Linked DNA regions of Arabidopsis thaliana. The protein of the gene in region 2 interacts with the protein of the main gene of each other region in a biochemical or structural test. Each region holds a gene or a part of one and is shown on either strand. Other genes may lie near its edges.

Region 1 (9,023 bases), on a different chromosome or scaffold from region 2:
ACCTGTAGAGAAACAGTGAGAGCAATAGCAGTATGTTATTAGTTTACTACACTAGAACTCAAAAGTAATAAACAATACTATCACATAACAATCACCTTGCTTCATCATTTATTTTGTCAAACTGAACACCTTCCCGGTAAGCAAATCGATGACCTTCTGATGAGACAATAACAATTCTTCCTTCTCTATTGCTTTCACTAGCTGTTTTCTTCATCCTCTCCAAAAGAAGGTTTGTCAACAGAAAATGACCTGAAGCATTGTACAAAACATAAACCTTATAACATAGAAAATGTTCCTCATCATACTTCAAACGATGAAGCAAAAGTTCAAACAAAGAAGCAAAAAGGGAGGAGATCATAAGTTCTTCTAAACTAAACATACCCAAATGATTGGTTGCAAACTGTAATTCAATGTTGTCGCTAGAAAGCAAGAAGGGACATGCCATAATCCCCGCATTATTGCTACAAAAACAAGAACAAAGATTAAGCCGACTAACACATATTAACATTCACTAATCCAGCAATTACTGAAACAAACTACAAACTTAGAGAGACTTTACATGAGAAGATTCAAGGGAAGGTCCAAAGACTGATACTCTGATGCAAAGCTCCTGACAGAAGCCATAGAGCTAAGATCCAACTTCATTACATCAATCTTAGCCTGAGGTATTTCCTTAAGTATCTTATCTCTGACTTGATTACCAGAATCTGTATTCCTTACCGCCATTACAACATGAACACCACGAAGAGCAAGAACACGAGTAGTCTCTTCCCCAATACCACTTGATGCTCCTGAAATCAAATAAAACATATACATCAAAAACCAGCAAAATCTTCTCCTTTGCTTCAAGATGTGTTCTTAACAAGCCTGATAAAGTTTAATCCTTTAGTCCATTAACAGATACCAACAACAACTTGAGTTCAAGGGCAGGATCAAAACCAAGAAATTAAACTATAGACTGAACATAGATCATAAAAAAGTTGAAAACATCTGCACGAAGAAGAAGAAGAAGAAGAAGAAGAAGAAGAAGAAGAGGACCTGTGACGATAGCAGTGAGACCAGTACCATCGATTCCATGAGTGACTTCTTCAGCTGTGGAACGAGCAGAGAACCCAGATGCTCCTTTCCACCAAAAAGGCCACATGTTTGTTTTGTTTCTATCTTCTGTACCACAAAATTAAAGTCTAATCTCAACCAAACCAACGCTAGCTGATGATCAAACACACACCCTAGTAAAGTTGACCAATTATAAAATTTCTTTTTCCGAGAGCTTTTGCAATGTGCCCATGCTCTGTTCTCAAAACAAGGCACTGAAGAATCTCGTATAAAAGTATTAATTACAGTTTCATTTGTTTTCTTCCTTAATCCAGAGATAAGAATAAAGATGTTTGTATACACTATTTACATTTTTGATACAAATGTTGTTAAATGTGAAATTTGGTATTCGTTTATTGTTCTTCATAAACTAATAATAAGCAATTAACAAAAAGTTTGCTTGAAAGAGAAGCTGATCAATGTCAAAGGTTTTTACAGCAGAAAGTTGGAAATAAATTGGACAAACAAAGAAAGATCCAACCGAAGAAGGAAATAACAACTCTCTCTGGGTGTGTAGAGCAAAAAACGAGTCTAACATGTTTTAAAATCTTTCATAAAAACTTATAAAAGATGAGCAATCTTCAAAAGAAGAAGAGACAGGTTTGGGCTAAAGAAGAGTGCTGTGATGTTGAAAATCCAGAGATAACCTTTTTCATTCATTCCCATGGAGATTGAGACCAAAAAAATTATTATTACTCAACGCTGTGTTGGCCTGGGCCTGGAGCTTCCAAATGTGGATCGGCGATCATCACTGCCTCTAGGACCAGAACCCCAACGGTCTCCTCCTTCAGCTGGAGGTCCAGATCTTTCCCTATTACTAGTCCACCGGTCAGTATTCTGAGCGGCTCCTCTGTTGCTTCCCCAGTGGTCATCTCCGGGAGGCGGCCCACGGTTGGACCGTCGGTCAGTTTCTGATGATGTTGGTGCTGATGGGCCTGAGACCTCAGTAGTCTGGCGCTTCCACTTCGGAACATAAGGTGCTGCTGGTGCTCCTGCTGCTGCTGCTGCTGCTGCTGGTGCGGTAGTTCCAACAGGAGTAACAGTAGGCTCTGCAAGGCGAGCAGGTGGTGCATTAGTTCCTCTCAACAGCTCTTCTCGTTCCCGCCTACTTTTCTCTTCCAGCTCTATCTCTCTCTGCCTTTGCTTCTCAAAAGCTTTATCCAAGTTTGCTTTGCGTTCAGCTTCTACCTTCTTGAGCCTCTCAGCTTCTACATTAGAGGAAAACCCAAAAAATAAACAGAAACAAGGGGTTATTAAGAAAAACTTCAATATCAAAGTCAAAATGATGTGGATTTATGGAAGCAAGTCCACACCTTCCTGCTTGCGAGCTTCCTCTTCTTCCTGCAGCTTCCTAATCCTTTCTTCTTCAATTTTCAAATAATATATCTGCTTCCTCTTGATATCCCTTTCTTGCTTCTTCTCTCGGATTATTTTACTGATACGCTCCTCTCTCTCCGTCCTGATTCTGTCAAACTCTGCTTGTCGACGACTAATCACTTGTGCTTGGAATATTTCCTGGGCACAGAAAGATTCGATTATAAGTACATTGGAAGGAAAAGTTACAGGAAAAATGTAAGAAACTAGAGAGCTTTAAAATTAATTCAATAACGAAAAGAGATTCAGATCAAAGATGAACATTAAGAGAAACAACATGACATGTCAAAGACTGACCTTATTACCCAACATTCTGGACAACCTGTTCTTCTCCTTCAAGTCACTCTCATGACGCTCTTTACTGAGTTCAACTTCACGCTGCATAGGAGAAGAGCTTTTAAGACCTCATATACTTCCAACACAGAACCAAGTTGTAAGAAAAGAAAAACTACTGAAACAGTAAGTACCTGTTGTTCACGCTCATAAAACTCTCTTTCCTCTACCAGTCTTCGCTGATATGCAGCTTCAATCAATGGAGCAGCCTCTTCTCTCTTTGCTCTTTCCAAATAATCCATCGTTTTGGCAAGCTTTTGAAGCTTCTTCTCCATTTCTTGCCTTTCCTTGAGCTGCTCAGTTAAGGCCCTTTCCTTCACAGATTGCTTTGTCACCTTCTCCTATATTTAGTTTAACCCAACCGACATTAGTAATAAGTTAATCAGTGAACTATATAATAGCTAACATATTGGTAAACTTACTCCGTCTAAAAGTGGCTTCTTCTTTCCCTTTTTCATGCGCTTCTCTGTCTCTTCCAGTAAAGCTTGGGCTTCTTCAAGCTCCTTCTCCTCTATCTCTCTAAGGATTCTTTGTTTTCTTCTCTCTGCAAGCTCTGCTGCAAGTCTCTTTTGTTCTGCCTCTTCAGTTAGCTTCTGAAGCTTAAGCCGTTTCTGCTCCTCTTCACGTTCCTTCAAAAGTAAACATCAAATAAAGGAATTTTCATAAACAGGTACAGCGTAAAAGGAGAGCTGTGCAAATAACCATGGAAAAGTAACTACCATTTCTAGTTGCTGACGCTCTTGATCCTCCTTCCTCTTTTCAATGATTGATTTACGAGCAAGCAGTCTTTTGTGCTCTTTCTCAACAGTATCTGCTAAATTTGGTATAACGCCAGCTAGTTTTGATGCTTTACTTGGGACAGGATACAGCATAGCTCTTACTTTGCTCAAAGACTCGGCAAAAACAGCCAGATGATCCCTCAGTCCATCAGACTCAATACCCTAATATACAAACAGTTGATCAAATAGATTAGTATTTAGTCAATAAGTTAAAAATTATATTACTCAACTACATATGATATAATCAGTGTTGAGCTGAAGCTTTAACAGAGGCTTACCAAATTTCCAAAAATTACAACACCCTTCATGTGATCAACTTTCATGGCAACAAAATTGTTCTTCACAGCATCAACAGAAATCTTCTCTACCTCTGAGAATTGAAAGAAGGGTACCAACTGAGATAAACTCTCAATTCTTATTGTCTGATAAATCTTAGACACCTGAAAATAAAATCGGAACATAGAACATTTAGTATGCAGAAAAAGGGATAAACCACCAGAAAAATCCAAAATGGTTGAATGGGTATTGACCTACAACATAGAGAACAAGGCTTACCTGTTGAAGTAGCCTCAGAGTAGCAAGCTTCTCCAGAGAAGGAACATATTGGGAAAGTTGCACTTCTGGTAAAGAAGGAGCTGAGGACAGTTTCCCACCAGATTTGGAAATCTTTTCCAGCAAAGGCTGAATCTTGGAGCCAAGATCAAGTGGGTGAAATTCATGCTCCAAAACATGGAAAAGATCTTTGACCTCCTGAGATGCACAGCTCAAAACACCTTTTGAAACCTAATTGCATAAAAATCAGCCTCCAAATCAGATATTTGTAAGTCGACAAATATTCTAAACCACAGACAGGGTAACAGCTAGAGACTCACCAGCTCTGACAGAAGAGCTGACCGGGAAAGCTGAAACAGGAAGGAAATGGAATTAGAATACTAAACCAGAAAGAAAGGGCGCAAAATAAAAATGAAGCAACATAAGAACCTATGTTACCATATCTTTGCCCTCAAATTTAGGTTCAAGATTGAATCCAATGAGGTTAGCCATCCTCAAATTGCGTTCTTTCTCATTTTCAAGTTCCATATGGGATGCGCTCTGAGCCCGATCAAATGGTGGAATGGACAATGCCGCCAAGACAACAGATGACGCTATTAGCTGCAAATCCTTTTGGCTTAAATTCTTGTTGAAATTTTTCTGCAGACTAAACAGCTTAAACCATGCATAAGCATGATAAAGATGGCTAGAAGAAATCCAGAAGATCTCAGTCAATTTGGAATAATAAACCATCAATAAAGATGACTTGGGCGTTTTTTTGACCATGCACATTAATCCATAGATATCTTCAACAGAGCGAAAAGCTTCCTGCAAAGATACATCACGAACCATACTAACTTATTTCCAGTAATTATACAGAGGATAAGCTATATACAGCCAAACTAAATATGGAATAGAGAAGGTAGCATCAGAAAAATACACATAGAAAACAAAAACGCACCTGCCAAAGTCCAAGCTCAGTAGCAACTTTCAACTGATCAAACCTTGTGTCCAGATACAGCTGCAAGCTCTCAGGGGCTGATAAGTCAGGTCGGTCCCTTTGGTCTCTGTACTTGTTCAGGTTTGCCAAATGATTTCTTATAATTTCACAAAGCCTACGGAACTCTGTTGTTCGCTTGTACTGCTTACAGAACTGGAAGGCTTTATGTGCTGTCATCTACAAGATTATAAAGTACAAGTCTTCAATCTCAATCAACTTAAAATCAGAGGTATCACCAATAAGCTTAACCTAGAAGAAAACAAACCGCATAAAGTGCTTCCAACTTTGAGTTGTTTCGCAATATCTCAAGGACTGTCCTGTATGTCTCCCACAGAAACTTAAACCATGGGGTGACCAACTCACGGTCAGACCTATCTTTTCCCTTCTCCCCACTGACAATACTTAGCTGTAAATCCTCAGGCTTCCTATCAGCTTCAAGGTCATCAACATCAAGAGCCTCCTCAAGGGCATCCGCCTGAGACCGAGCTTGCTCAGCTTTGTCAGTAGCAAGATGTAGGAAGTGCTTGATAACTTCCTCCAAGGAACTGACATTCACTTGCTGGCAAACAATACGATACTGAATCAATCCATCCTTAGCGAATCGACCCCTCTTCAAGTCAACACAAAGATCAAGATACTTAAACATGATCTTCTCAAGCGGTTTCTGCCAAGCTCTGTATCTCTTGGAAGTAATGAGATCATGAAGCGCCTGAAGAGCATCTTGTTTCTGTCCAACATTGATCAATTCTACACACACAAAAAAAAAGTGTTTAACACAATCTCAATTCATACACACCCTAACCACATCCATTTGACCAAATGGATGTTAAAACGAAAACATTTCGTAACTTACCATCAGCACGCTTCAACGCGTTCTCTGGTTTGGCAAAATTCGCCATGTTTCAGACGAAAAAAGCTAGTAACAAACTCTAACGCAAGGGACACTCTCAATTAGCCTGAAAAACACAGAGAAGCGATTTTGTTACAGAGATCACCAGAATCCGAAAAACCCAATCAGATATCTCAGAAAAGGATGGAAGCTACATAGACCAGAAAAAACTTGCCCAAACCCTAAATTCATTTCATAGAATCAAAATAACACAGAAAGATTCGATAACCTGACCCAAACCCTAACCCAGATCAATTCAATGAGATTTGATTAAAAGGCAGTAGAGATCCAATCACTGATGCAAGAACAGAGCCGAAACTTAGGACTAACCTTGTAGCCGTGAAAAGAGAAGACTGATAAGAGAGACGAGAAGCGAAGCGGAAGCAACTCTAGGGTTTCTGGTATTAATATTATCGTTCTACATATATATTACCCATATTTGCAGAAATCATCCTATTTTCTTACGGTTTCGAAATGACCCCGTTTTATCTTCTTAGTGTTTATAAAACCCAATTTGTCTAATACTGGGATGTGATTCAATTGAGATCAACAAAATTTATGGATTTCATTTTCGAATTATCATTTACAATATACTCTCTATATTTTGTTTAATAATATTTTTAGCAATTAACTTTGATATTTCTATATTATTAACTAAACATACATTTAAGTAAATAGCCAACAACATATTAAATATTACATAAAATGCCACTACAAAAATTCATTTCAAAAAAACAATTGATTTACATAAAATCATGAAAGGTAAAAAATTCAACTGTAAAAGGGTGTTATTGGTTTATGATTTCAAAAGAGTTTTAATGACTTAAAGTGTAATATAGAATCTGATGTTATTCAATTAAATTTTTTTTAAAGTATAATTGTGTTAACCCGCTTTAATATTTATAATTGGGCAATTATAAATTCATATAAAAAAAATTAATTATGATTATTGCATTTATATAAAAAAATTGAAAATTTGAATATGATTTTTTCTATTACAAATAGGGATTGTTAGCTTACTTTTAACTGTTTTTTTCTTAATTATACTAGGTAAGTAACAAGAGTATAAGAACATTATACAGTTCAAAATATATATTTAAGCAAGGCATTGGAAATATGTGATGGAAAATTAATATAACAGATTATTTTTGAATTATTTTACTATCGACGTATTTTTTTTGTCGGAACTGTCGCTCACGATTTGCAATAGAACATAGCCATATGTAATCATTTTGATCTATATTTTTGAGTTACTCCAAGATTCAAACAATTTAAATTCCGTTATAATCTACAATTAACCTTCCATCCAATTCCAAAATCAACAATATTTTAGCCAATTTGTGCGATGATCATGAATTTGTTTTGTTAAATTCATTGATTTTCTAGAATCCAACATGTACATAAAAAAAATTAGTGGAAATTGATATATTTTTTTGGGAAATTTGCAGAAATAACTAACAAAAAAACTATAATTCACTAACTAACCATCCTAACTATGTAATTATAATATTCTCTGTATTATATGTAATATTACTCAATTTGCCCTTGTTGCCTCAATACCTTCAGTAGCAACCACCACCGCTGGCCACCACCGCCGGCCACCACCGCCGGTCACCACCGCCGGCCACCACCGGTCACCACCACCGGTCACCACCGCCGGCCATCACTGCCTGCCACCACCGCCGGCCACCACTGCCTGCCACCACCGCCGGCCATCACCGCCAACTTCGGCCACCATCTATTCCGGTCACCACCAACACCGGTCACCGTCACTGTCGGCCACCATCAAATCCGGCCACCACCAACTCCGGCCACCACCAACTTCGGCCACCACCACCACCGCCACCACCACTGTCGGCCATCACCACCACCGGCCACCACCACCACCGCCGGTCACCACCACCACCACCACCACCACCACCACCACCGCCGACCATCACCCCGCCGGTCACCACCACCACCGCCGGCCACCACCACCACCGCCGGTCACCACCACCACCACCACCACCACCACCACCACCGCCGACCATCACCCCGCCGGTCACCACCACCACCACCGGCCACCACCACCACCGGCCACCACCACCACCGCCGGCAACCACCACACCGATCACCAACACTTCCGACCACCATCAACTCCATCCACCACCGCCGGCCACAACCATCACCACCACTACCATCTCCAATCAAAAAGACTAATTTAGTAAGTTTACTACCCTCTAGTGTTAGTTTCTACATTTTGTATATTATAGTGTTAGTTTCTTAAATAAATTATCAAAAACAGTTAGTTTTGCAATTCACCCATATTTTTTTCTCGTAAATGTTTTTTTATTGATCGAAAGTCTACGGCACAAGGTATTCTTACAAGACAATATTTTAAGAGCTAACAAAACGAATATATAGTCCACAAAGATAGACCCAAGATTAAACCCTCCAAAGAAAGAAAAGAGACAGCAAAGCAAACTATCTTCATATCACAAGACGCGTCAGACGGTAAAGATGAGATTACGACACATGTTGATTTCACAACCTCCACCGCAAGAGATCCAACTTCCGATGAATTTTAGATCGTCACCGGAAAACTAAGTTCGAGCAATCAAATCTTCTGTTTCTCACCGTAATGACAATCGCAGATCACCATACTGATTTGCTCACGACTGATTCTTAACCAATTGAATCTCTGATTCCTTGACAACAACGACGAAAAGGTAATTCAAGATCTACACAACAACTAAAGCTTTTAATTAGGAACCTAAAGCACATTCAAACCATGAACTGTTTTAACCGAGTAACATCCGCTTAGAGATTAAGCCAATAAAGCTTCCAACCAACAACTAAAAACATAAAAGAAAGCAATCATCTTCATAGATCGGTGGGAAGAAATAACCACAATTATGTTGAACTCAATCCAAAGGCACTAGAAAAAACCATCATCCACAACTCCGATTTGTTTCTTTTAAAATTGAAATCGATAAGCTTGAAAAACAAAACGAGCCTTTTAATCAAAGGAGGTTTAAGGAAT
Region 2 (6,543 bases):
CTTGAAGATGAAATTGTATGGTAGCTAGAAGGAATAGAAAAAAAATTGTTTGAATTCTTTGTGCAGGCTGCCATTGTAGAAAGTCGCAGAGCTCAGGCCAGCGTTTCAGCCAAACCCATACATCAAGCAGTTCTTGTCGAACCTTTGTTGTGCAAAGTTTGCCAGATCAGCTTTACCAACAATGATACATATAAAAATCACACCTATGGAAAAAAACACCGAAACAATTTGGAACTGCAATCAGGTAAGTCCAAAAACATTTTGGTGGGACCAGCTGAGCCTTCCAAAGAGGTTCTAGAGAAACATAATATGAATAAGAAGGTGATGATTGAGAGTAGAGCTCAGGCAAACGCTGAATTCGTTTGTCTTATGTGCAATGTGGTGTGCCAGAGTCAGATTGTCTTTAATTCTCATCTGCGCGGTAAGAAGCATGCCAACATGCTGAGTCAATCAGAGGCAAGTTTCTAACTTTTGGTTATTCGAGAACTTGTTAATTTATAGCAATAGAAAATTTGACAGCTTGGTAAAACATATGCCTGACCTAAAAGCATTGGATCAGGCACTCATTGTTTCTACAAAGCTTCAAGAGAAAGGAGTCGGAGAAAAAGAACAACCAAGTGAAACAGTTGCAGAGCTTCAGTTGCAGTCTCAAAAGGCTCAAGAGAAGCAGGTTCCCATGGTGAATCAATTAGAGGCAAGTTTCTAACTTTTGGCTATTCGATTATATGGAATTTTTATTAACATCGATAAGTTGGCAGTTTGGTAAAACATATGCCTGATATTATAGCTTTGGATTAGGTACTAGTTGATTCTAAGAAGCTTCCAGAGAAAGGTGATGAAGTAAAGGGTCAACCAAAAGAAATGACTGCACTGCGTAATGCAAGTGCTAAATACATTTGTCGTATGTGCAATGTGGGGTGCCACAGTCCAATTGTCTTTGAAACTCATCTAAGGGGTCAGAAGCACGCTGCCAATCTGAATCAATCAAAGGCATGTCTCTTACTTTTGCATATTTGAGAGCATATAAAAAACTACAGTGTGGTAGACATATGCTTTATGTAATACCGTAGGATCAGGCACTCATTGATTCTAAGAAGCTTCAAGAGAAAGGTTTCGGAGAAAAAGAACAACCAAGAGAAACAATTGTAGAGCCACAGTTGCAGTCTCAAAACGCTCAAGAGAATAGCAAGTGTTTCGAAAAGCATGTTGTCATGGTGAATCAATCAGAGGTCAGTTTCTTAATATTGGTAATTTGGTATTTTAATTTACAATTTCCAGTGTAGCAAAACATATGCTGAATATGAGAGTCTTAACTGTGGTAAAATATATAAAGAATGAAGCTTATATAGTTGCATCAGGTACTCATCAATGCGAGTAAGCTTGAAGAGAAAGATGCCCAAGAAAAAGCTCAACCAATAGAATCAATAGCCGAACCTCAGTCGCAGTCTCAAAACACTCAAGAGCATACCAAATTCTTTGAGAAGCAAAACGAAGAGTTGAGAAAGATTTGTGGCACTTTAGAAAGCAGTGTAAAAGAACCTCTTCCAAGTACTAAGGACTGGGTGGAGACTCTTAACAAACAGATTCCAAATGGAGAATTTTTCTTTGGTGACCTAAGATCTGATTTTGAAGTACCCAGGGAAGCAAGGTAATTTTTGCTAACTTGGATTTGCTTGCTTAGTATGTCAAAGATGCAATTATCTAAATGTATTCTCCAACTTTTGTCATAGTGAATGTTTTGATGGCATTGTCAAGCCTGTAAACCTTTCCAAAGGAGAAACTAAGCATTCATGGGAGGTAAAGAAGAAGAAAATCGAGGTGACCGTACGCCATGCAAGACCAGCTGCATCTAAACTTTGTCATCTTTGCGTAGTGATTTGTGATAGCCGGGGTTTGTCAACAGTTGTTTGTGATAACAAAGCTCATTGGCCGAACCAAAAACATACTACTGTAGTGACACTTACTTCATGTTCTACCTCTTTATCCTTGATCAATATCAAACCCTTCTGACTTCTTATTTTTGATGTAGGCCGCCTTTGTAGCCAGCAATGGTTCTCAGTCCAGCGTTTCAACCAATCCTTTGAAGGAACCAGAGGGTTTGCAGCCCGTGTGGTGCCAAGTCTGCCAGATCAGCTGCAACAGCAAGGTTGCATTTGCAAGTCACACATATGGGAAAAAACACCGACAGAACTTGGAATCACAATCAGCCAAGAACGAAACTATGTCTACTGGACCAGGCAAGCTTTCTAAAGATTATGGAGAAAAAACGAAGAAAGTATCATGCAAAAACCAAACCACATTTGATTCTCAACTGAAGAGTCAGAACCATTATACCATGGCGAAGGAGCTTGTAGAGGTAAATCTTACTATTTAGGTTTTCTTTCGTGAACTTGGAATCTGCTTTTAGTAATGAATATTACAAATCTTAGTAAAAATAATATCCTTAGGTTTGATTCCTATCGAAAGTGATGAAGTATATATTAGACCTTAACTAAAATATCGATGTAGAAGGCATTTGTCTCCGCATTTGAGCATGTCTCCGCATTGGAGCAGTTCAGTATTGTTGACTCAAGGACAATCCGAGAAGACACCGACCAAGAAAAAGAAGCAACAAAGGAGCAGACACTTGTAAAGATGGATGGTAATGGGTTTCGAGGGGCACCAGAAGATAAAGTGGAATTGAACCAAGAAAAACATAGAGAAGCACTGGAGCAGTTCAGTATTGACTCAAGGATAATCCGAGAAGAAACCGATCAAGAAAAAGAAGCAACAGAGGAGCAGACACTTGTAAAGATGGATGATCTTGGGTTTCGAGGGGCACCAGAAGATAAAGTGGAACTGAAGGAGAGACACACCGTATCTGAGAACTTGGTGCACCGTGTCTTCACTGAACAGAATCGAGAGTCTAGAATACCCAATGAACCGAGGTAAGAGCCAACATTCATGGGAGTGTATAATATGGTCTCTCTCTCTCTCTCTTTCTCTTGAATCTCGATCAATATGTGTGTGTCTAACTGGTTGCTTGGATTTTGGGTTACAGAGGATGTTTAGATGTGATTCCTGAGAGAGTAAAACTGCCACCAAACGTGAATGTGGCCAAGAATTTGGAAGATGAGCAGAAGCATAAACCCGAACCAAAAGCACAGGAAGCCGAAAACAAGTCTGGAGGACGCAAGGATCTTCCTGGAGAGGCTGCCAAAAGGGAAGAGATTAAGGGCCAAGCTGATAACTTTTGGACTCGCCTTTGGGGGAAAAAATATTAAAATAATGTGAATTGTTAATTCATGTTTAAGTTGTCAACAATGGATGTTTTCTTTTGAATGGCAGATTAACGTTTTATTTTGGATTGGCTTTTGCTTATTTCTTACTGTTGTTTCTTATATATAAACTTTACCTCTTAAAAAAGATTCAAGAACAATAGAATTTAGGCATTGTAGTATATAGGTTCTCTCAATAAATTGGGAAATAACGACCGGTTTTTCCAACAGAATTTTCGGCTTAGTCTGTAATGTAATCATCAAAAATTGCATTATTTGCTTTACGACTACAGCTCAACTGGGCCACCCTGATTACTTATCCGACCCGGCCCGACCCATCCGGATCTTCCTTCTCTTGTTTAAATTAAAGCAGATAAAAAGGAAACTGGAAAATTCAGTTCAAGTATTGTCGTCGGAATATTACTCTTCACCGGCCAGGTAAAGCTTTCCTACGACTATGCTTGTGTTCGTCGGAATGTGTTTTTCTTTCTTTTTCTTATAGTCTCTGGTCGCTAATGACTCGTATTCTTGGTCCAGTTTTCAGCTCTTGTGTGTAAATTTGTTAGTCTTTTTTAATGTCGAGTAATTGGGGAAGTAGCTCGCGAGATAGCTCGGGAAGTAGTTCAAGAAGCGATGTTGACAACTCGTTTGATGCTGACGAACTTTTACAGATTGGTTCAAGATGTATGGAGGTGAATCTGTTTTTCTTTCTCTATATCCTTTGTCTCAGAGATTGATGAAGTTCATATTTTTGGCTTTATGATCTCATGTTTTCATTGTAATTGTAGCTACGGAGAGAAAAGGAGATGCTTAGAGAATCTCAGTCACAGAGTGTTGAACTTGTCAGAGTATGTTCCTCTTGTGTGTTTTAGACTAGTGAATTGATTGTTCAAACTTTTTCTGAGATTTGTTGTCTTTTTTTTTTTTACCCTAGAGGTTGGAACTGAATGCGAATTCGTTGTCAGAGTCTCGTTTAGAAGATAAGAGAAGAATTCAGATGTTGGAGAAAGAATTGTTGAATTGCTACCAGGAGATTGGTAATGGAGAGATTCTCATGAAACTGAAATCTAGGCATATATTTTATATGAGCTAAAAAACACTTTCTTTGTCTTTCAGATTATTTGCGGGATCAAGTAAACTTCAGAAGCCAGGAAATGAACGACCTGAGTGAACATGTACTCGATCTTGAAGTCAGAGTAACTAAATCAGGGAAATTGGAAGAAGAAGTTAACTATTTGAGGGAGGAGTTGTGTTCGTCGAAATCTGAGCAGCTATTGTTGTTGCAAGAACTGGAGAGCACAGAAACTGAGCTACAGTTTTCTTTGTTTTCTGTTGAGAAGCTGGAGGAGTCGGTCTCATCCTTAACATTGGAGTCTCAGTGTGAGATAGAAAGCATAAAACTTGATATAGTAGCGTTGGAGCAGGCGCTCTTTGATGCTCAGAAATTTCAAGGTGAAAGCATCCAAGAAAACGATAAGTTAAGAGAAATAGTCAAGGAGCTACGGTTGAACTCTCGAGAGGCAGAAGAGAATGCTGAGTGTTTAGAGAAGCAAAACAAGGAGCTGATGGAGAGATGTGTAGCCTCTGAAAGGAATATCAAAGACTTACGTCAAAGCTTTAGAGGAAGGTTGGAAAGTGAAAGTGAAGCGCCTGTAAATCCAGATTGTTTCCATGACATCATCAAGAAATTAGAGGTTTTCCAGGATGGGAAACTGAGAGACAAAATGGAAGATATGGCAAGACAGATACTTCAATACAAAGATCTTGTAAAGCAGCTCAAGGTATTAGTTACCAAACAAAACAGTAGAATCAAAAATTTGGTGCCTTTTTGCAGCGTCACACATATTCTAACTAGTTAAACCATTATTTTGTTATGCCTAAGGATGAGTTGAAAGAAGAGAAACTAAAGGCCAAGGAAGAAGCAGAGGACTTAACACAAGAAATGGCTGAATTAAGATATGAAATGACATGTTTATTGGAGGAAGAATGCAAGCGGCGTGCATGCATCGAACAAGCATCATTACAAAGAATAGCCAATCTAGAAGCACAGGTACTTGCTTCTTTATATCTTCCAATTTTTTTATTTTTTTTGAGCCATCAGATATTGTTGAAGGAACCTAACAAATATCCATTTTCTTGTTAAGATCAAGAGAGAGAAGAACAAGTCCTCAACTTGCTTAGTTCCTCTTCCTGCTGTATAAACCAGCTAAGGTTCGAGTTAAACTTGAAATCACAGTTAATGCCTCAAATAAGCCTTTAAGCTATAAGGTTTGAATTCTTATGTATTTAAAGTGTACATAATCCAATTTGATTGGAAATTGGAATATAGATTTCATCCCTGTGATTATGTTTATATATGGAAATTGAGTTTTACAAGAGTGAAACTGCTTCTTCATGTGCCTACCAAAAAAAAAAACTGCTTCTTCATGTGGCTTCTAAGTGTTTAATTACGCCTTCAGCAACATGTAGAGATCTTGAGAAATTGACATGAGTCTCTAGAGAATGTTGAAAGCTGTGGTCGTTGACCAAGAAGATTCTTACTATTTGACTCTATTTGATAGGCCTGTAATGAGCCTAGGTCAATAAGGCTGAGTTTATTTGATGGCCCGTTTTTCTCTCTTTTATTGTTCTTCTTTTTCTTGTGAAAATAAAGAAATCTGGAAGCGTTGTTGTATCATCATGTATGTGCAGAGTCTAGTAACCTTGTTGTTGATGCAAAGGGATAAATGAATGGGTCAAGGAAAAGAACCTGTTGTCTTTATTGTTAATCAAGACACTTGTAGATTTGTTGTCTAACCTAATCCAACTTGACTTTAAGCAAAAACATATTCCAACTTGTTCTTCACCAAAATGATATGTTGAAATATCGTATCTACTAGGACATCAAGATTTTGTTGTAGTCGTTATCAATGTAACCGGTAACAAATAAAAATTAATGAGATAAATTAGGCATGATCATATCCATAGATATTGTCAAACAATTTTCTATCTTCAAGTAGTTTTTGGTTTTGGGCGAAAATATGTTCTCTTTGACAAATTCAACAAAGACCATTCTTTTTGGATGACAAAATTGACAACTTACCCATTCTTTTTGGGCTCATACAATTTATCAACTAAACCATCAGTACAAAAAAAGAAGCAGAAATTAGAAAAATATAAGAAAATGACTCTTTCTCTGTAAGAAAAAATCCAACTACGTTTATTATATCCACAATTACGTCCTATATACAATTAAAAAGATCTAAATTGCTCTATTTTCGTTAGAAAGTAGTTACTTTTTACTTTT
Region 3 (5,816 bases), on a different chromosome or scaffold from region 2:
AGCTGGAAACTTGTGTTGGCTACAGTGATAGCGTTTCTAGGATCAGCTTGTGGGACTGTTGGTGGTGTTGGAGGTGGTGGGATTTTTGTTCCTATGCTCACTCTTATACTCGGGTTCGATACAAAATCCGCAGCTGCAATATCAAAATGTAATGAATTCATCAATCATTGTATAGATCTTTCATGAGAGAATGCTTGAGTTAATTTGGTATGTTGTTTGGTGGTGAAAGGTATGATAATGGGAGCATCAGCATCATCAGTTTGGTACAATGTACGAGTTCGTCATCCGACAAAAGAAGTACCAATCTTAGATTATGATCTTGCTCTTCTCTTTCAACCAATGCTTCTTCTCGGTATCACTGTTGGTGTTTCTCTCAGTGTTGTGTTCCCTTATTGGCTCATTACTGTCCTCATCATCATTCTTTTCGTCGGTACTTCTTCGAGATCTTTTTTTAAAGGCATTGAGATGTGGAAGGAAGAGACATTGTTAAAGGTTAGTTTTATCTTCCATCATAAGTTGTGGCTTTTATGTTGTGTGAGTGTGATACTGAATGTTTTATGTGGCTTTTCTTAAACAGAACGAAATGGCGCAGCAACGAGCTAATATGGTTAATTCCCGGGGAGAACGTGTGTAAAGCTTCATACTTTTGATTCCTTTAGTCATGTTTCTTGATCTTAAACTGACCACATTGTTGATTCTCTTGTTCAGTTTTAATCGATACAGAGTATGAGCCGCTTTACCCGAGAGAAGAAAAATCAGAGCTGGTAAGAGTGTATGCAAGATGATTTTCTTAACTTATTGGCTCTTCAGACTTGCATAAAGATTTAAAAACTTACAGGAAATAATACGCTCCAACCTCAAATGGAAAGGGCTTCTAATTCTAGTAACTGTGTGGTTGACTTTCTTGCTCATTCAAATTGTCAAGGCAAGTAATCTTCTTCTTCGTCTAAGCATTCTCAATAATCTTTATGTTGAGCTCTCATCAATGGAACTCGTGGGTTTATACAGAACGAAATAAAGGTCTGCAGCACAATATATTGGATACTATTCATCGTACAGGTAACATATATATGTCGCAGATAACCTTTGATTATGTTTTGTGCTCTCGCTAAATCAAGTCATTCGGAACAATTTTCCCTTTGTAGTTCCCAGTTGCTTTAGCGGTGTTTGGGTTTGAAGCAAGCAAATTGTATACAGCGAACAAAAAGAGGTTAAACAGTGGCAACACTGAATGTATCTGTGAAGCTACGATTGAGTGGACTCCTCTGAGTCTAATCTTCTGTGGTCTCTGTGGTCTCATTGGAGGTATCGTAGGTGGTCTCCTTGGATCCGGTGGTGGATTTGTTCTCGGGCCTTTGCTTCTTGAGATTGGAGTCATCCCACAGGTAAACACACCATCTTATCAGTATATATGATTGTAAAACCCATAATCATTCATCTTGTGTCTTTCATTTTTATCTAACGGTTAAAACACAGGTTGCTAGCGCAACAGCTACCTTTGTGATGATGTTTTCTTCGTCCTTATCCGTAGTCGAGTTCTATCTCCTCAAGAGATTCCCAATACCATACGGTAAGATCTCTAACACACAACATGAGATACATTTAGAAGTCGTAGCAGAATAAAAAGGAAACTGATGATTGACCTTTGTTTCATTGACAGCAATGTACTTGATTTCGGTATCGATTCTTGCCGGTTTTTGGGGACAATCCTTTATAAGAAAGCTCGTGGCGATCCTGAGAAGAGCTTCCATAATCGTTTTCGTTCTCTCAGGAGTCATTTGTGCAAGTGCTCTCACAATGGGAGTGATTGGGATAGAGAAGAGCATAAAGATGATACATAACCATGAATTCATGGGATTCTTAGGATTCTGCAGCAGTCAATGAATCAACCATCTATCTGAACAAAAATTTCAAGTGTTTTGTTTTCATTTACTGGACAATTTCGGTTGTCCAACACCATTATTGTGAGAAGTTATAAAATTAGATTGTTTTACTTGCAGTCCAAGTCATTTGTGCTCTGTTCTTGGTCAATACATAGTTGACCATCTTCAGAAATAGAGTTTGTCTAAATTGTTGTCATTGTGTTTTGCTTGTATTCAAACGTTGTATTATTATTTGCGAGACGATAGATAAAATAAAAATGGAAGTCTTTTTCTATTCACATCTTCAATGTAACTACAACAAGAAAACAGAACATGTTTTGGTAATCTTTCTAATTGGAGGAAGGAGGGCAATTGATTTGGACTTGGCTAAGATTGTTGAACAACAAAGGCAACTTTGAGACAGTTGACTAAAGAAAAAGACATCTTCAGACAAATCTAACCACAACATCGTCTTCCCACTTGAGTGATTAAATTTTATAAGCATTTAAGTATTGTGGTTCCAAAAGTTTTGTCAACCAATGATAAGAGAGATTGCAATGGAATGATTCGCGGATCATCTTGGTCCATATACCATTTTAGCCGTGAGTTTTTTTCTTGGAATTTATGTATAGTTTTGTGATATATTGTTCGTGGTTAAACGTCAAATTCGAAACAAACAAAAAATGATGCATGTGAGATATGGAAGTCCAAGCCAAACAACATTTGGTCCTATTAAGACTGTACTAACTATCATTTTTTATTTATTAGAGGCCATCAAATCTTTGTGTAATGGGTTTTTAACTAAAACATTTCTTTCATGGGCCAAGACATTTAATTTCGGCTAAAAGGCCCATTAAACTCCTCCAAAACTAGGGCTCAGGCGAATTCATCTGCCTTAAATAGATTCGTAATTCTAGAAAACAGATTTTTTAGGGTTTCAAGTGAAAAGAGTAATAGCGCGGCGGAGCCATGGTTCTCAAGTAATCAATCTCTTCTCTATATCTCTCTTCTCCATGCTTCTCTGTTCATAGGTTTACATTGTTGCTAATGATCCATGTGAATATTGCTACTGTTGAAAATGCCAATTTGCTAAAATGAGCTTCTTTTGGTTCAAATCTGTTTATTTCCCGATCAGAAATGTCTGCAAATTGTGATTTTCTGGTACGAGATATGGCTTGTGTTCGGCAATAACTAGATCTTATTGTTTCCCTTCACTTTGCAACATTTTTGTTTGTAATTCTGTACATTGAATTAATTGTGTTTGGTCTCTGTTTCAAATCATTGTGACTCTTGTGAATCGTATTGTTTCTCTCATTGGGCAGATATCTAATTAGCCATTTACTAGTTCTGCTTTTAGGACATTGTAAAATGAGATGGCTTTGAATGTGTGTCCTGTGACTGTTTGTGATTGTGACCAGGGTTGGTTTTGGATTATCACTAAACCATTGATTATCTTTGTATTGTAGGACTGAGCTTTGCCGATTCAGTGGCCAGAAAATTTACCCTGGTAGAGGGATCAGATTTATCCGATCGGACTCTCAGGTACTTTATTTTGGTTAAATGTGTGCTCTACTTGTTAAGAAGAGTCTTATCTGTTGTTACTATGTATCTGTATTGATTAAATCATCTTTGGTTTTTATGGTTGTATTAGGTGTTTTTGTTTCTCAACTCCAAATGTAAGAGGTATTTCCACAACAAGTTGAAGCCATCTAAGCTTTGCTGGACTGCTATGTACCGAAAGCAGCACAAGAAGGTAATGTTTCTTTTTTTAGTTGCTTCTTGTTTTCATGATTTAGTACTATTGAATTCTGTTGTGATCTTTGTTTTCTCTCTTCTTACAGGACGCAGCACAAGAGGCTGTGAAGAGAAGGAGACGTGCAACTAAGAAGCCTTACTCAAGGTCGATTGTCGGTGCTACTTTGGAGGTTATTCAGAAGAAGCGAGCAGAGAAGCCTGAAGTTCGTGATGCCGCTAGAGAAGCTGCCCTACGGTTTGTTTCTTTCCCGAAGACAGTCACTATATACATCAATTTTTTTTTGAAACTGAAATGTGATTGATTCAAAGCTAATCTGATGATTATGCAGTGAGATCAAGGAGAGAATCAAGAAGACCAAGGACGAGAAGAAGGCAAAGAAGGTCGAGTATGCATCAAAGCAACAGAAGTCACAAGTGAAGGGAAATATCCCCAAGAGTGCTGCACCCAAGGCTGCTAAGATGGGTGGTGGTGGAGGCAGACGTTGAATGGAGCTATAGAGTAGCCCACTCTTCTCTCTTCACTTATCTTTCTTTCTTGTTTTGACATTGTTTTGTTTTGTCAGCCATTTTTTAGTTTTGCACCAGATCTAATATATTCAGTTTATGAAAACTTTTTGTTTGGTATCAATCCCCTTGTGTTTTACTCGTAGATCCAAAAACTGCTAAATAGAATTTTCAACTTGGCTTATTCTAGGACATTATTAGTGGTCTGAGCTAAATTGAGCTTTGGTTAAGCATTGATTATGGATCTAGAGTTCTTGAATCACGATGTTTCTTCATTAACTTCAACTTAGTAAAGAACCCTTTACACGAAAATCACTTAAACAATACTTAATACAAAGGAAAACAGAATCAGCCATAGAAATTGTTGCTTGTTTGGGACTAAAGCTACAAATTTGAGCCATTTTGGAGATATAACTGAAGTGGAACTTATATACTATTGCCTCAGCTGCAGGCTTTTTCCCAGGTTTGTTTCTTCTTGCATGAACTATCCTCTCTTATCATTGATTTCAGTTGTATTAGCTGTTGAAACAAAGTGAAAGTAACTCAATGGATTGTAACTCGAAAGCTTATTTATTAAGTTAGTATTGATCACTGGAGTAATTACCTCTTCTTGTAGCAATTCCTTTTCTCTAGAGACAATATCAAACTCTTGTCTTAGTGATTCATAGAGATGCTCAAGTTGTTTGTTCTTCCACCTGGCTTTCCTGTTCTGGAACCAAACCGCAATCTGTCTCGGCTGCAGCCCCAGTTCTTTGGACAGCTTCATCTTCCTGTCCGGATTCAGCTTCATCTTCCTGTCCGGATTCAGCTTTATCTCTTCTTGGAAACTTCTCTCGAGGAACTTTAGCTGCTCGCTCGTCATCTTCTTTTTTTTCTTCTCCTGTCCATTAAAACTGTTGCTTTCTTCTCCATAGCCACTCTCTACCATTGCTAGAGGAACATGAAGTATATCTTGTTGTGCACCCATCATTGTACCTAAACATCTGTTGTCTTGGTTTCCTACAAATTCAATACAAGACAGAGAGAGACTTGTAAAGCGACATACAGTTGAGTGAATGATTAAGCATTAAGCATATAAACTAGCTCTACTAAAACCTAGTACTATGGATGCATGTTACCTGAAAAATGGTCAAAGTTATAGAAAGGAGAGATGAAGCTGGAAGAAGACGCGCCATCGATGAAGGAGCTGCTCCAATATTCCATCTTCTCTTCTTCTTTTTTTTTACCTCTTTTGTCTATCTCTGCTTACAACAATCACTTTCAAGAGACTATTTTTTACCTAAACAAGGAAATGAGCAACTTTGGGTGTTTGATATGGGTGTATCTTTATCACTATATGCATATGTTAGAACATGCAGGAACATTATATATAGATAAGTAAATGTGGTTGAAAACGCTAGGGCTTCTGTTTTTAACTTCGGGTAACTAATTGGTCACTATCAAGTAAGATAAATATATGTGTAAATGAATGGTTTCATTAGTCTGACCGGTAACAAATAGTACTCCGAACGATGAGGGTAAGAATAGGCGGTGTTGAGCAAATGCATTATACGATACAAAACGAGCTAAAAAAAGTTAATGGTGATTATTTAGTTTGAAATTTTTGTTAAAAATTGATTATTATTCTCATATTCTCACATGACCTTGTATGTTTCCATAAGTAAGATATTTACATAAGTAATAACGTAGGTATTT

The links. The genes of interacting proteins can lie anywhere in the genome.
Region 1: the proteins of AT5G61200 (region 2) and EIF3A form a complex in vitro, tested with the Arabidopsis thaliana proteins (one study listed by BioGRID).
Region 3: the proteins of AT5G61200 (region 2) and RPL24A form a complex in vitro, tested with the Arabidopsis thaliana proteins (one study listed by BioGRID).

Annotation. Positions count from the first base shown.
Region 1 is NC_003075.7:6,946,043-6,955,065, forward strand, and holds EIF3A (eukaryotic translation initiation factor 3A), read right to left. Parts: upstream 6,438-9,023; 5' UTR 6,332-6,437; intron 6,069-6,331; 5' UTR 6,012-6,068; coding exon 5,966-6,011; intron 5,860-5,965; coding exon 5,378-5,859; intron 5,290-5,377; coding exon 5,074-5,289; intron 4,941-5,073; coding exon 4,572-4,940; intron 4,484-4,571; coding exon 4,454-4,483; intron 4,365-4,453; coding exon 4,137-4,364; intron 4,022-4,136; coding exon 3,860-4,021; intron 3,744-3,859; coding exon 3,522-3,743; intron 3,432-3,521; coding exon 3,225-3,431; intron 3,144-3,224; coding exon 2,937-3,143; intron 2,848-2,936; coding exon 2,767-2,847; intron 2,611-2,766; coding exon 2,409-2,610; intron 2,304-2,408; coding exon 1,792-2,303; 3' UTR 1,434-1,791; downstream 1-1,433. Other genes in the region: AT4G11410 (NAD(P)-binding Rossmann-fold superfamily protein), read right to left, coding at 1-2, 96-249, 382-461, 560-791, 1,039-1,144; AT4G11430 (hydroxyproline-rich glycoprotein family protein), read left to right, coding at 6,757-6,786, 7,571-8,200. UniProt on the Arabidopsis thaliana protein: RNA-binding component of the eukaryotic translation initiation factor 3 (eIF-3) complex, which is involved in protein synthesis of a specialized repertoire of mRNAs and, together with other initiation factors, stimulates binding of mRNA and methionyl-tRNAi to the 40S ribosome.
Region 2 is NC_003076.8:24,616,624-24,623,166, forward strand, and holds AT5G61200 (myosin heavy chain-like protein), read left to right. Parts: upstream 1-3,520; 5' UTR 3,521-3,695; intron 3,696-3,762; exon of another isoform or gene 3,763-3,794; 5' UTR 3,795-3,832; coding exon 3,833-3,949; intron 3,950-4,045; coding exon 4,046-4,105; intron 4,106-4,191; coding exon 4,192-4,294; exon of another isoform or gene 4,295-4,373; coding exon 4,374-5,038; intron 5,039-5,139; coding exon 5,140-5,307; coding exon of another isoform or gene 5,308-5,400; exon of another isoform or gene 5,401-5,401; coding exon 5,402-5,458; 3' UTR 5,459-6,043; downstream 6,044-6,543. Other genes in the region: AT5G61190 (putative endonuclease or glycosyl hydrolase with C2H2-type zinc finger domain-containing protein), read left to right, coding at 67-456, 560-694, 799-990, 1,071-1,229, 1,350-1,648, 1,731-1,950, 2,030-2,356, 2,509-2,927 and 1 more.
Region 3 is NC_003071.7:15,348,835-15,354,650, reverse strand, and holds RPL24A (ribosomal protein L24), read left to right. Parts: upstream 1-2,637; 5' UTR 2,638-2,831; coding exon 2,832-2,842; intron 2,843-3,328; coding exon 3,329-3,404; intron 3,405-3,513; coding exon 3,514-3,615; intron 3,616-3,703; coding exon 3,704-3,852; intron 3,853-3,946; coding exon 3,947-4,103; 3' UTR 4,104-4,383; downstream 4,384-5,816. Other genes in the region: AT2G36630 (Sulfite exporter TauE/SafE family protein), read left to right, coding at 1-148, 230-492, 578-626, 709-764, 839-925, 1,009-1,059, 1,146-1,385, 1,477-1,570 and 1 more; HB22 (homeobox protein 22), read right to left, coding at 4,563-4,640, 4,726-5,120, 5,240-5,324. UniProt on the Arabidopsis thaliana protein: Might have an extraribosomal function in reinitiation of translation.